Tamandua tetradactyla: one gene and its partners. The protein of the gene in region 3 purifies or fractionates together with the protein of the main gene of each other region. This does not show direct contact. Links are inferred from orthologs where the notes say so. Each region holds a gene or a part of one and is shown on either strand. Other genes may lie near its edges. The genes, in order: MED9, MED19 and POLR2C.

Evidence for each region.
Region 1: the proteins of POLR2C (region 3) and MED9 purify together in Homo sapiens (affinity purification with mass spectrometry; 3 studies listed by BioGRID and IntAct, with this or other methods). This does not show direct contact. The link is inferred for Tamandua tetradactyla from reciprocal best matches to the Homo sapiens genes POLR2C and MED9.
Region 2: the proteins of POLR2C (region 3) and MED19 purify together in Homo sapiens (affinity purification with mass spectrometry; 4 studies listed by BioGRID and IntAct, with this or other methods). This does not show direct contact. The link is inferred for Tamandua tetradactyla from reciprocal best matches to the Homo sapiens genes POLR2C and MED19.

What each region holds. Positions count from the first base shown.
Region 1 is NC_135332.1:1,176,528-1,180,275, reverse strand, and holds the start of MED9 (mediator of RNA polymerase II transcription subunit 9), read right to left. Parts: upstream 2,712-3,748; 5' UTR 2,667-2,711; coding exon 2,440-2,666; intron 1-2,439.
Region 2 is NC_135335.1:19,876,253-19,880,000, forward strand, and holds the start of MED19 (mediator of RNA polymerase II transcription subunit 19), read left to right. Parts: upstream 1-958; 5' UTR 959-1,174; coding exon 1,175-1,391; exon of another isoform or gene 1,392-1,484; intron 1,485-3,748. Other genes in the region: TMX2 (thioredoxin-related transmembrane protein 2), read right to left, coding at 596-784. UniProt on the Homo sapiens protein: Component of the Mediator complex, a coactivator involved in the regulated transcription of nearly all RNA polymerase II-dependent genes.
Region 3 is NC_135342.1:51,145,668-51,149,415, reverse strand, and holds the start of POLR2C (DNA-directed RNA polymerase II subunit RPB3), read right to left. Parts: upstream 2,843-3,748; 5' UTR 2,766-2,842; coding exon 2,680-2,765; intron 2,508-2,679; coding exon 2,458-2,507; intron 896-2,457; coding exon 827-895; intron 695-826; coding exon 642-694; intron 1-641. UniProt on the Homo sapiens protein: Core component of RNA polymerase II (Pol II), a DNA-dependent RNA polymerase which synthesizes mRNA precursors and many functional non-coding RNAs using the four ribonucleoside triphosphates as substrates.

The DNA of each region.
Region 1 (3,748 bases), on a different chromosome or scaffold from region 3:
TAGGTGATCCTTGGTGGTCTCTCACCTTCACCCCTACTCCAGTTCCTGGCATTGCCAACTCCTGAGATTTTGGGGGAGGCCCTGGCTCTCTGTAGGGCAGACTGCTTTCGGCTTGGGATTCAGACTGCTAAGGGCTGGGTGTCCACTTTGTGGTAACCATATTTTATCCTGTTCTTTCGCTTTATGCTTCTAAAAACTATCCCTTTCATAAGAGAAAAAGAATCACAGAGAATTTAAGTTACTTGCCCAAGGTCACCCAGTCAGTAAGTTTCAGAGCTGTAATGTGAACTCATGTTTTTCACATTTTAGAGTTAAGAAAATTAAGACTTAGAAAAGTTAAGTATTTAGCAAGATTATAAAGTAAGAAGGCATCAGCGCACAGATCTGAATGCAGGCCTTCTGCCTCCGAAGCCTGTGTTCTCTCTAGTATACTCAACTGCCCAAGCCCATTGCTCCTCTAGGGCTCAGGAACGCACCTCCTGTGGGTCCAAGAGGTATCTCTAAGCATCTGGGCCTTCTGTTCTCATTTTGGAGCTTTCTTAAAATTGGTATGCATATTCGTGTTAACCTGGCTAAGGCCTTTATAATTCATTTCTGCCAGGACTGCAGGGTCTGCATCTGCTTTTCTGTTTGCTGCCAGGAAATACTACCTGAGAGTCTGCCCTACCTGACCGTCACACTAACGAGTCTGCCCTAAGTTACACATGGTGCGCTCACACCAGGCAAAGCCCACGGGCATCAGGGCCTAGCAAGGGTCTTGGAGCTGTCTGAATAAAACAGCAGTGGAAACGTCATGTCACCCATGACAAGTGAACTGAGGGTGGCTAACCTCAAAAGAATTTAGGCTGTCAATAGTATGTTCGTGTTGTGAGTAGCAATTTCATTTCAGCAAAACCTCACAGAGCACATTAATGCTCGTTTGAACTTTCCTGAAGTGGTAATTTTAATGTACTTCATTTTGAATAAGGGTTCTAAGCATAAGCACACCTAGTATTATGTGACTATATATTCAAGTAATATAACAAGAAAAATAATTTAAGTACATATGGGGTTTAGAGAAACTTTTTTTCCTTTTTAGGGGTCAGTTTGAAAATTCAGGCTTACCTGAAGGCTGGTCAAAAGGATGACAAACCACCCCCTCTGATAACCATGCTAGAATGAAGGTCAAATCAGGGGATCTAATCCAGTGGGGCAACTTTAAGATTCCCCCTCATCCGCCCCTCTCCTCTCTTGTCTGAATTATGGGCTATTCATATTCATGTCAGGGTTTTTCTACTAGCTGGTAAGAAATATGGGGGTGAAAACTTGGCTCTTGTGCCGCTTTGAAACTATTATGTACCTTAGAAAAGCCATGTTCTAATTCTGATCCAATCTTGTGGGGACAGCTGTTTCCTTTAATCCTGATTTAATATTGTAAGGCAGAAACCCTTTGATTAGATTATCACCAGAGATGTGGCACTTCCAGTTGCTGGTGTGACCTTTCGATTAGATGGAATATGACTCCACCCATCTCAGGTGGGTCCTGATTAGTTCACTGGAGTCTTTAAAGGGAGAAATATTTTGGAGGGAGCTCAGAGCTGACACAGATACAGAAGCTTGGAGAACAACTGCTTCGGAGCTGACAGAGACATGGATGTTTAAAGATGCTTCCAACACAGAGAGAGCACATGCCCGTACCCATGAGATGCTAAGTAAACTAGAACCCAGAACTGTGTTCCAAAGATGCGAAGTGAAGGCACACAGATGCTTAGAAAGGAAACCACTGGCATCAGAAGCTGGAAGCAACAGAATTGGGAACAAGGACCAGCAGCCGCCAGCCACGTGCCTTTGCAGCTGACAGAGGTGTTTCAGAGGGCGGGAGCCTTTCTTGAAGGTAACCTTTTACGGGTGCCTTAATTTAGACATTTTCACCGCCTTAGAACTGTAAACTTGTAACTATTGAATCCCCTTTTAAAAGCCCCTTGTTTCTGGTATATTGCATTCTGGCAGCTTAAACTAATACAGCGTTTTTAAATCCGAACATCCCCTAGCAAGTAGCGCCACACAGGGAAGAAGAGCCATAACTTTTGGCTAAATGAAAAAAGGAAGAAGGGTTCTATTATCCGGATATTAGAAGTGAGAAACTGAGGTCACAGAGGCTTAACTGACTTCATGCGAGCCCTTTCATACCAAAGCCAGTGCACTCAGTCTCTAAACTGGCTTCGTTTTTGTTCACATCAACCAGCCATCAGGGGCCTGGCCACTCTGAGGGCTCAGAGCGTTTGCTGAATGCCTGGAAGGTCCCTGTGTGGTCTCGGGAAGTTCTCTTCTCCCTCTGGGTCTCAGTTTCCCCATCTGTAAAACGGGACGGGCCTAAGAGAGCCCAGGCCTCTTCAGCTCTGAAACGGGTGTAAGAGGCAGGCGGGAACGTCGCGGGCGAGTCCTCCTGGAGGCCCTTACCATTTGATGATGTTGTGCACCAGAGGTAAAAAGGAGTAGTTCTCCTCCTCCTTCACGCCCGCGGGGGACTGCGGCCTCGGTGCCGGCGACGGCTGCGGCTGGGACGCGGCGGCCGGCGGCGGCGGCTGGGGCGGCGGCAGCGGCTTGGTCTCGGGCAGCGACGGCTCGGCGGGCGGCGGTAAGATATCCTCGGCCTGACGCCCGCCGGCCACCCCGGAGGAGGACATGGCACGGGAGGCACGGTCAGTCGGTCAGCAGGCCGCCCCGGAAGAGCCCACCCACCGGAAGCGTCGCGGGTCGCACACGTCACTACTGCGCGGCGTCGGGGCGCGGAGGCGGCTCTGCGCGTGCGCACTGCCGCCTGGGCGGAGCCGAAGCGCAGGGAGCGGGTGGGGAATGCTGTTGCTAGGCGACGGCGTGTTGGCGGGCCTGGGGTGGCCTGCATGAGCTGTGGGTCAGGATAACTCAATTATTAACTACTCAGAATTAGGAGATTTATTTCCAAAAATAACACAGTCTTTATTTCTGTTCTGCTGACGACGAGGATAGAAAGGCAACCAAAGCCGGAAGCCGTGAGATGACTAGGCCTGGCGCGGCCCAGCCCCTGCAGGGCCTCCTGGGGGGCCTCCGGGGGGGCCCACGGGAATGGCGGGGCGGGGGACTGGCCGTACCCCACCGCGCCCAGGAGAAGACGCCACCCGGGCTGGCGCCGCTCTCCCGCGGCCGCACCCTGGGCCAGCCCGAAGGGTCCAGAGACGGCCAGCTGTGGGCCTGCAGAACTCCTAGGACTGCGGAGGCCGGCCGACGAGGTGGCGAGAGCACCTGCTGGCCGCAGGGGCTGGGCGGACTTCTAAAGGAGGGGGACAGTCCCAACGCCCACAGAAGACAGAGGGATGGGTCAGTATCGCCGCCGGAGGGAAAATGGCCTCAGGTACTCGCGGCGGACCAGCTTCATCACACCTACAGCCTTACCTGGTTCAGGGTCGCGGCGAGCCTCAACCGCATCGCCCTGGAATGCAGTCATGTGGCTGACCCCAAAGGTCTCATTTGCACAAGGACCTCCTAGCATCCCAGGCCAGAGAGGTGGGGTTTTGGTGGGTGTATTGGGGTTTGCCAGAGCAACAGAATATGTAAATAGTGAGAGTTTTATTTTAGGAATTGTCTGGGGCAACGCAAGCTGCTAGAAATGTGATATAACAGAAATGGAATGGCTTTTAAAAAGGGAAATTTATTAAGTTGTAAGTTTACATGTTCTAAAGTTGTGAAAATGTCCCAATTAAAGTAAGGCTATAGAAACGTCCAATCGAAG
Region 2 (3,748 bases), on a different chromosome or scaffold from region 3:
CCAGTATGCCTGGCATATATAGGTTGCATCCTGGAAATGTTTACTGAATTAAGCGGTGACCTAATGTGTAGGTACTATGGCGAAAGAGTGGTTTTAACTTCCAGGCACTCACTAGCTGTAAGACTTGGGACTAGCTGCCTAACCACGATGAGGTCAATTCCCTCGTCAGTAAAACGGAAATACTACTACTTGCCTTACCGACCTCGGTAGCTCCTTAAGTTGTTTTTAAAAAGTGGGCAGCAAAGAGCTCTGAGAAGGGGAAAGCGTTGCACACGAGGAGAAAGGAAGACCACTGATAAGCGTGAACGATGAGATGGAAAGACACGGTGAGATGGAAAAACCCTGGGGCTGTTATGCAGTACGTGGGACCGACCGGCTGCGCGACCCCGAGAAGACCACGCCTCTCTGTTTTCCCACCTTGGAAGACGTAGAGATCGCGACGCAATGGCAGTCAAGGCCCTACGCTCTAAGTCCTTCAGTCCGCTACAGGCTCGGGACCTCGGGTATCCTCAGAAAGATGAACCCCGGGGCTCCCAGACGCGCTCGCTGGGGTAGGGAAAGTCAAGGTCGCGGGTGCCAGGCGGGGGTCGCTCACCCAGTCAAAGTCACAAGGGTTACCATCTTCGCGTTGCGTAGGGAGGCCGCTGCATACTGGCGGGAGCTTCCTCACGAGTAGGAAGGCGGCAGAAAGCAGGGCTGACAGAAGGTAGTAGGGTCGGGCCAGCCATCGTGAAAGTCGCGGCACCGAATACACCAGAGCAATTAAAGGTGCGAGGACCGCCATCTTCCCGGCCCTTGCGGCGCCCGCCGCTCACCGGCCGTGGTAGGTTTGGTCCCGGCTCCCCTCTCCTTGGTACTTCCATTGGGCCGAGTTCCGGATGCGCCGCCCCTTGACCCGGAAGTAGGTCCAGATTGGCTTCTATGGCGCATAAAAGGCGATGTGAGCCACTATTGGCCAATCTGGCAATCCCTCTTCCTACCTAAGTCGTTTTACTGGATCTGAAACTGTAACCAGTGGAGCTATCAGAAAATTTAATAAGGTTAGCTAGCACTTCCCGAACGTTCCGTGAAAGCGACGGAAGTGGTCGCCGGAAGAAGGCAGGCGGGCACAGAGGCATCCAGTGCTAAGCGGCTCCGAGAGTCGGAGGGCGTTTCCCGAGGCGCCGCTGGGGCCATGGAGAATTTCACGGCGCTGTTCGGAGCTCAGGCTGATCCACCACCACCCCCATCCGCGCTCGGATACGGACCCGGAAAGCCTCCACCCCCGCCTCCGCCCCCTCCGGGAGGGGGACCCGGTACCGTTCCGCCCCCTACGGCGGCTACGGCCCCTCCCGGCGCCGACAAGTCAGGGGCTGGTTGTGGCCCCTTTTACCTGATGCGGGAACTGCCAGGTGGGTGCTAGGCATGGCCGAAACCAGCCAATCAGATCATAGAGAGCGTAGTGGGCGTGCCTGTCAGCTGGCTGGTGCCAGGTAACCGAGGAATCGCGTACCCTGACAGTGGAGCTCAAAGCCGAAAGATCTCTGAGGATCAGCCCCCAAAGCGATGGCATGGATTCATGGGATGGGGAAAGGGGGTTGTATCTTCCACGCCACATCCGGCCTGTGTCCCTGACACTAGTTTATGTTTCCCTAAAAATGGCCCAGGGTTTGAGTTTGTATCTGGAGAGGCCTGATTTAACATCCCAGGAAACCTAAGTTTTCAGTTTCAAGTCGGCTACAATCTTGTTGGTTTGGGGTAAGTTGATTTCCTTCCTAGGGCCTCGGCATTTCTTCAGCTGTGCGAAGAAGGGTTTGGAATTGAACCAGATTCTTTTAATGCAAAATTTTATTTTGTTGAGCACCCTACTGTGTACCAAGCACTTTTCTAAATGCTGAGGCTACAGCTGTGAACAAGACTGACAAAATCCTTACGTTTTTGAAGTTTACATTTCAGTGGGTAGACACATAAGTGAAATAATATAGTTAGTGATTAATGCCAGGAGGAGAAAATATGATAAAGAATGGAACAGGAGGAACTACTTTAGCTAGCGTGATCAGAGAAGTGCTCTCTGAGTAGATAAGATTGGAACGAAAATCAGCATGGAGAAAGGATAAGCCCTGCATGTGTGGAGAGAGGGGATAATTTTAAAAACATGGTATGAAAGCTAAATCTCTGATGTGAGAAAGATTTGGACTAGCAGAAGACAAATTGGGCCCAGTTAAGTGAACAAGGAGAATAGTGGTAGGAAGTGAAAGTGGGAGAGGTAGGCAGAGGCCTTTACACCATAATGTAAGATTTTAAGTTCTAGGGGATGCCGTTGTGGATTTTAACACAAGGGAATGTCATGATCTAATGTATTTCTTTTTAAATCACTTAAGCAGTCATGTGAAGAATGGAAAGTGGGGAAGAGTTGATGGTTTAGACTAGAGCTAGGGCAGTAGAGGATAGAAGTGAATAGCAGCAGAATAAATTTTAAAGGTAGCGCTAACAAAAGATGGATTTAAGTAAGAAATTGATAATGACTTCTAAGTTTTTAGCTTGAATAACTGGATATATGGTAGTGCTGAGACTGGTTGGAGGGTTTTGAAATAAAGTCTTTTTGGACATAAGTGTCTGAGAAGCTTTTTTGTTCAGCCCAGGTCCTACTACCACATTATAGTTGAGGGAGATGATAATAACAATTATCAGTGCAGTACTTTATGCTATAACATTTAATATAGAACAGTCCCTTGACTGTTATCAGCATTTTATAGTTGAAAAACTAAAGCTTAGAGAGGTGAGCCTCCAGCAGTTTCTTTCATCTTTCCTTTGTCTTACTCATTTTGACTGTACCTATATATACATCAATGAGTGGACAGATACGAAACTTCTATTCTGGGAAACTACTGGGTATGTGGTAATGACAGCATGTGGTGGGAAAGGGAGAAAAAGTAGTATGTCTGGTCCTTGTTTTTAAGGAGATTTTTTTAGTTGTAGATGTGAAATATGTGGTTTAGGGATAAAGTAAGGGAGTGTATTTCTAGTCAAAGCCAATCTCATTACTTTGTGGTCAAATTTCACATATATAGCAACTAAAAATAATACCATTGCAAACGATATTGAGAACTACATGAAGGTTTTCAAAATGTGTTCCTTATCATCCACAGTGAGAGCAACAGTAAAATGTGACTTGAGATGGACCATGAAGAATTCATATTGGTGAAGAAAATTGGGAAGAAATTTCCTAAAAGGAAACACTATGAGGGGTGGGTTTTTCTTTTCAGGAGATGATAGAGACTTATCTTGTTGACTGAAAAATCTTGCATAGGCGAGTAGTGATAAGGCCTCAAAGATAAATTGGGATAAGATGCACTTAGTCGTCAGTGCCAAAGAAATTTAACCTTTTCCCTGAAGGTAATAGGAAACCACTGAGATTTTTGAACTGAGGAATACAGCTTTTTAAAAATGTCTAGAAACCTTGAGATTTTGTTGGTTTGTCCAGAGTGATGCCCCGATAAATCCCAAAGTGATTTGAACAGTGAATAAAAAAGTATTTGCAAAGTCCCCTTGGGGGAATGGTGAGAAAGGGGGAAAATTCAACTTCCCCAAGTTGAATTCTTGATATCTCACAAGCAGTGGGGACAACCAAAGCAATAGGCTGAGCCCCCGATCTTGGGGTTTGTTCATATGAAAATTAACCCCACGAAGGATAGGTCAAGCCTACCTAAAATTAGGCCTAAGAGTCACCCCCAAGAGATCCTCTTCTGTTGCTCAAATGTGGCCTCTC
Region 3 (3,748 bases):
ATGACATGCCCTTGGGAATATTAGAAAAGGGTCAATTCAGGATCACCCAAAGACATCATGAGCTAATAGTCTCAAATTACCTAATGCAGCCCTAGTGAAGGGAACCCAACCCAATCCCACTCTATCCCCAGTCTGACAAAGACCTTTTACTGCATCCTCTGGGAGAGCAAACGTACAGGTAGAGAGCAAACCTGCAGCACCTGCGGGGGAGGGGCATGAACCTGGCAGACACGAATAGCCAGTCCCTCAGGTGCAGTTCTTGTGGGACAGCTCCCAATCCTTCTGCTCCTCTCCTTCACCATCCCAACTTCCCATTGACTTCCTTTAGCCTCCTAAGCCTCCGTCACTGGGAAGAGAGGCCCTGGAATACAGAGTCTGAATAGCTCAGACTCTGAGAAGATACAGCCCTCACTCTTCAGTATAAATGAGCATTCTGGGGTATATACTATCCTCTTGTGTGGCTACCTAATGGGACTTCCTGATGCCCCCTGAGCCTACTGAATCTGAAGCCCTGTCAGAATTGAGGACCAAGCCCTGTCTCAGGTTCTTGACATATCCAGACTGTTGGGCAAAACCACTCTGAGAACTGTAGGTAGGCATCTCCCACTCTGCCTCCCCTTTTATTCAACCACAAAGCATACCCGGGAGTTCTGTAGCTTTTCCACAATGTCGTCACTTGTGAGGGGAATCAATCCTGGAAAACACAAAAAAAACACTTTAAAGGCTAAGCAGCCAACCCAAAAGGGAACCTAGAAGATGCCACGATGGATGCAAGTAAGGTTTCTACCAGGCACTGCACCCTCCAACACCCAAACCCAACACTCACCAAGCCTGTGAGCAATGAACTCATCATGAAGGACTGAGGAATTGGCATCAATCTGTACCCAGTCAATGGCTAAAAGTGAAGGAAACAGAGATGCAGTTTAGCCACCAAATTCAGCTACAGAATTAAGAGTAGTGGTTTGTGAGATTTAGAAATCACCTGCTATTTATTATATCATAGGTGCCTTGGCCAGGCTGCCAGAGACTGATCCTACAGCTCTAGAGTGGCCCAGGAATCTTCATTTTAACAAGACACACGGTGAATGTAATGCAAAGGGGTCTTTGTTATCACAAAAACAAAACATTGTCTTAGAGACTGGGAGTGGGAACATATTTCTTTGTGCTGAATACTTTCATGAGAAGCACTAATTTGCTACCCATGGGAACATGAATTCCAAAAACACAAATTATTTGGACATTTAAAAATTGGGTAAAACCTCACAGAAGTAACACAGACTTATGGCCCTTATCTCAGTTTATGAACTAGTGACCAGTTCACCCAATTTTGCACTTTATTAAATCAATTCATGTTAACTGAATTCCTCAACAGACAAGGCATACTAAGTATAGAACCCCATACCTTCTAATGAGCTAGTGGGAGGAAAAGGGCTCTATTCTCACATATACTTGTTTAAACACACGTTCATTCATTCAAATGAAGGGCCTAAACATGAGGAATGGGGTCAGAAGAAGGCCAGCCCTAGCCAGCCCTGACTTCCTTTGTCCTGCTATGCTTTCTACTGCTTCCCCAACCCAAGCCATTTGCTTCAGCCGAAAAAGGACCATAACCCAAGCTGTTCTGTTTCTGCCTCATTACTCCCCCTGATATACCCTTACCCTCCCCTCTGCCTGCTGAAATCCTGATTCTCCAAAACCCTAGCCTTGCCTGCCTTCCATGAGACATAAGCAATCACTCTCTCCCTTTGAACTCACTCAAAAAACTGTCCAAACCTCTCAAGGCATTTATCATATTTTGCCTTGTATTTTATTTGTGTGCACCTTGACTCTACTTCTAGCTTTGAAAATTCTTTGCAGTAGAGTCTTGAGATACCTTAACCTTTGTATTCTTGGCTGTGGCTTGGACTGTAGGAAGTACCCAATATTTGCAGAATTGAATTTGTGGAACAAGTGGCATTTAGACTCAGAATTCAGGCTGTATCATTAAGTCCAACTAGCACTCCATGCTCTGAGTTGAAGAAGTGATTGGTGCCGAGGTGGGAGATAAGCCACAAAATAACATTGTGGCTTATCACTTGGCCTGTTCATTTCACAATAGACTGCACACTGATGCAGTACCTATAACATTCTTCTTTTGCTTAAGCAAAACTCTGGGAGCAGACACTCAGAAAATTCTGTAGTATACTTGTCAATATATCAAGTACCTGGAAAACCAGAGCAGAAATCGAGTCTGTCCCCTCTAAATGCCAGTGTATATGGAACGGTGGACCTAAGTGACCCGTGAGAGTCAGGGAAGTGACCAACAGTGGCCAGGCCAAGGACATGGGGTTAGGTAAGTCTCCAGCATTGCTGTTTTCTCAGTGCTCCCAGCTATACCCCACCCTTACCCCCAGCCTCACCCAAGGGTTTGCAGCAGAAGCCCCATGGGTGGAGAGGCAATGTGGCCAAGTCGCTTACCTATTATAGGCACCTCGGCGATGAAGACCCTCCGAATAGAATTAGCCACCCTGAGGAGGGAAAATGAAGCAGGGTGAAGGCGCCGCCACGGCCGGCCCCACTTCCCAAGCGAAGACCCTGGCACAGGAGGTGCCAGTTCTGGAAGGATACGAGGTCCCCAGCCTCCCCTCCCTGGGACACTCTAGCACTAGAGCCTTCAGTCTCTTCCCTCCGCAGTCTTACGCCAAGTCCGTATTCTCAATGATGAACTTGACATTCTCGTCCGTGAGCTCGGTGATTCGCACCGTGGGCTGGTTGGCGTACGGCATTGCGCCTCGCAGCCGGCCCAGCCTCTGCCGTCAGCTCCGCGGCGTCTCAGCGGCCGCCCATACCGGAAGTCGCCTGCAGGCCCCGGCTACTTCCGCTAAGACGCGCTCACAGCGTCTCCTGCTGTTCGGAGACCAAAACTGCTCCGGGCCTGACTATCGAAGGAAGTTTTTGTAAATCCAACTGCTTCAAAACGCACCAGGTTCATTTCGCAGGGAAATTTGACATTGCCCCCAGTCCTGAATGTATATAGCTTTAAAAAAATTAATTTATTTATGATACATAACCGCATACAAACACAAACATTCTTATCATATGATCATTCCGTTCTTGTTATATAATCAATAACTCACACTATCACCACATAGTTGTACATTCATAATCATGATCATTTCTTGATTCCGCATCAATTCCGAAAAAACAATAAAAAGAAAACAGAAAAAAATTCATACATACCATACCCCTTACCCCTTCCCTTCACCGATCACCAGCATTTCAATCTACTAAATTTAACATTTGTTCCCCCTTATTTATTTTTAATCCATATGTTTTACTCATCTGTCCATACCGTAGATAAAAGGAGCATCAGACACAGGCTTTCACAACCACACAGTCACACTGCGACAGCCATATCATCATACAATTATCTTCAAGAAACACGGCCCGCCACTGGAGCACAGCTCCACATTTTCAGGCAGTTCCCTCCAGCCTCTCCATTACACGTTAACTAAACAGGTGATATCTATTTAATGTGTAAGAATAAACTCCAGGATAGCCCCTCAACTCTGTTTGGAATCTCTCAGTGTGGTAGTTAGATTCACTTGTCAGCTTGGCCAGGTGAACATGCCTAGATCTATTGCTGTGGACATGAGCCAATGGCATGTGAACCTCATCTGTTGCTGATTACATCTGCAGTCGGCTAGGCGGTGTGCCTGCTGCAATGAATGATGTTTGATTTAATTGGCTGGTGCTTAAATGAGAGCGC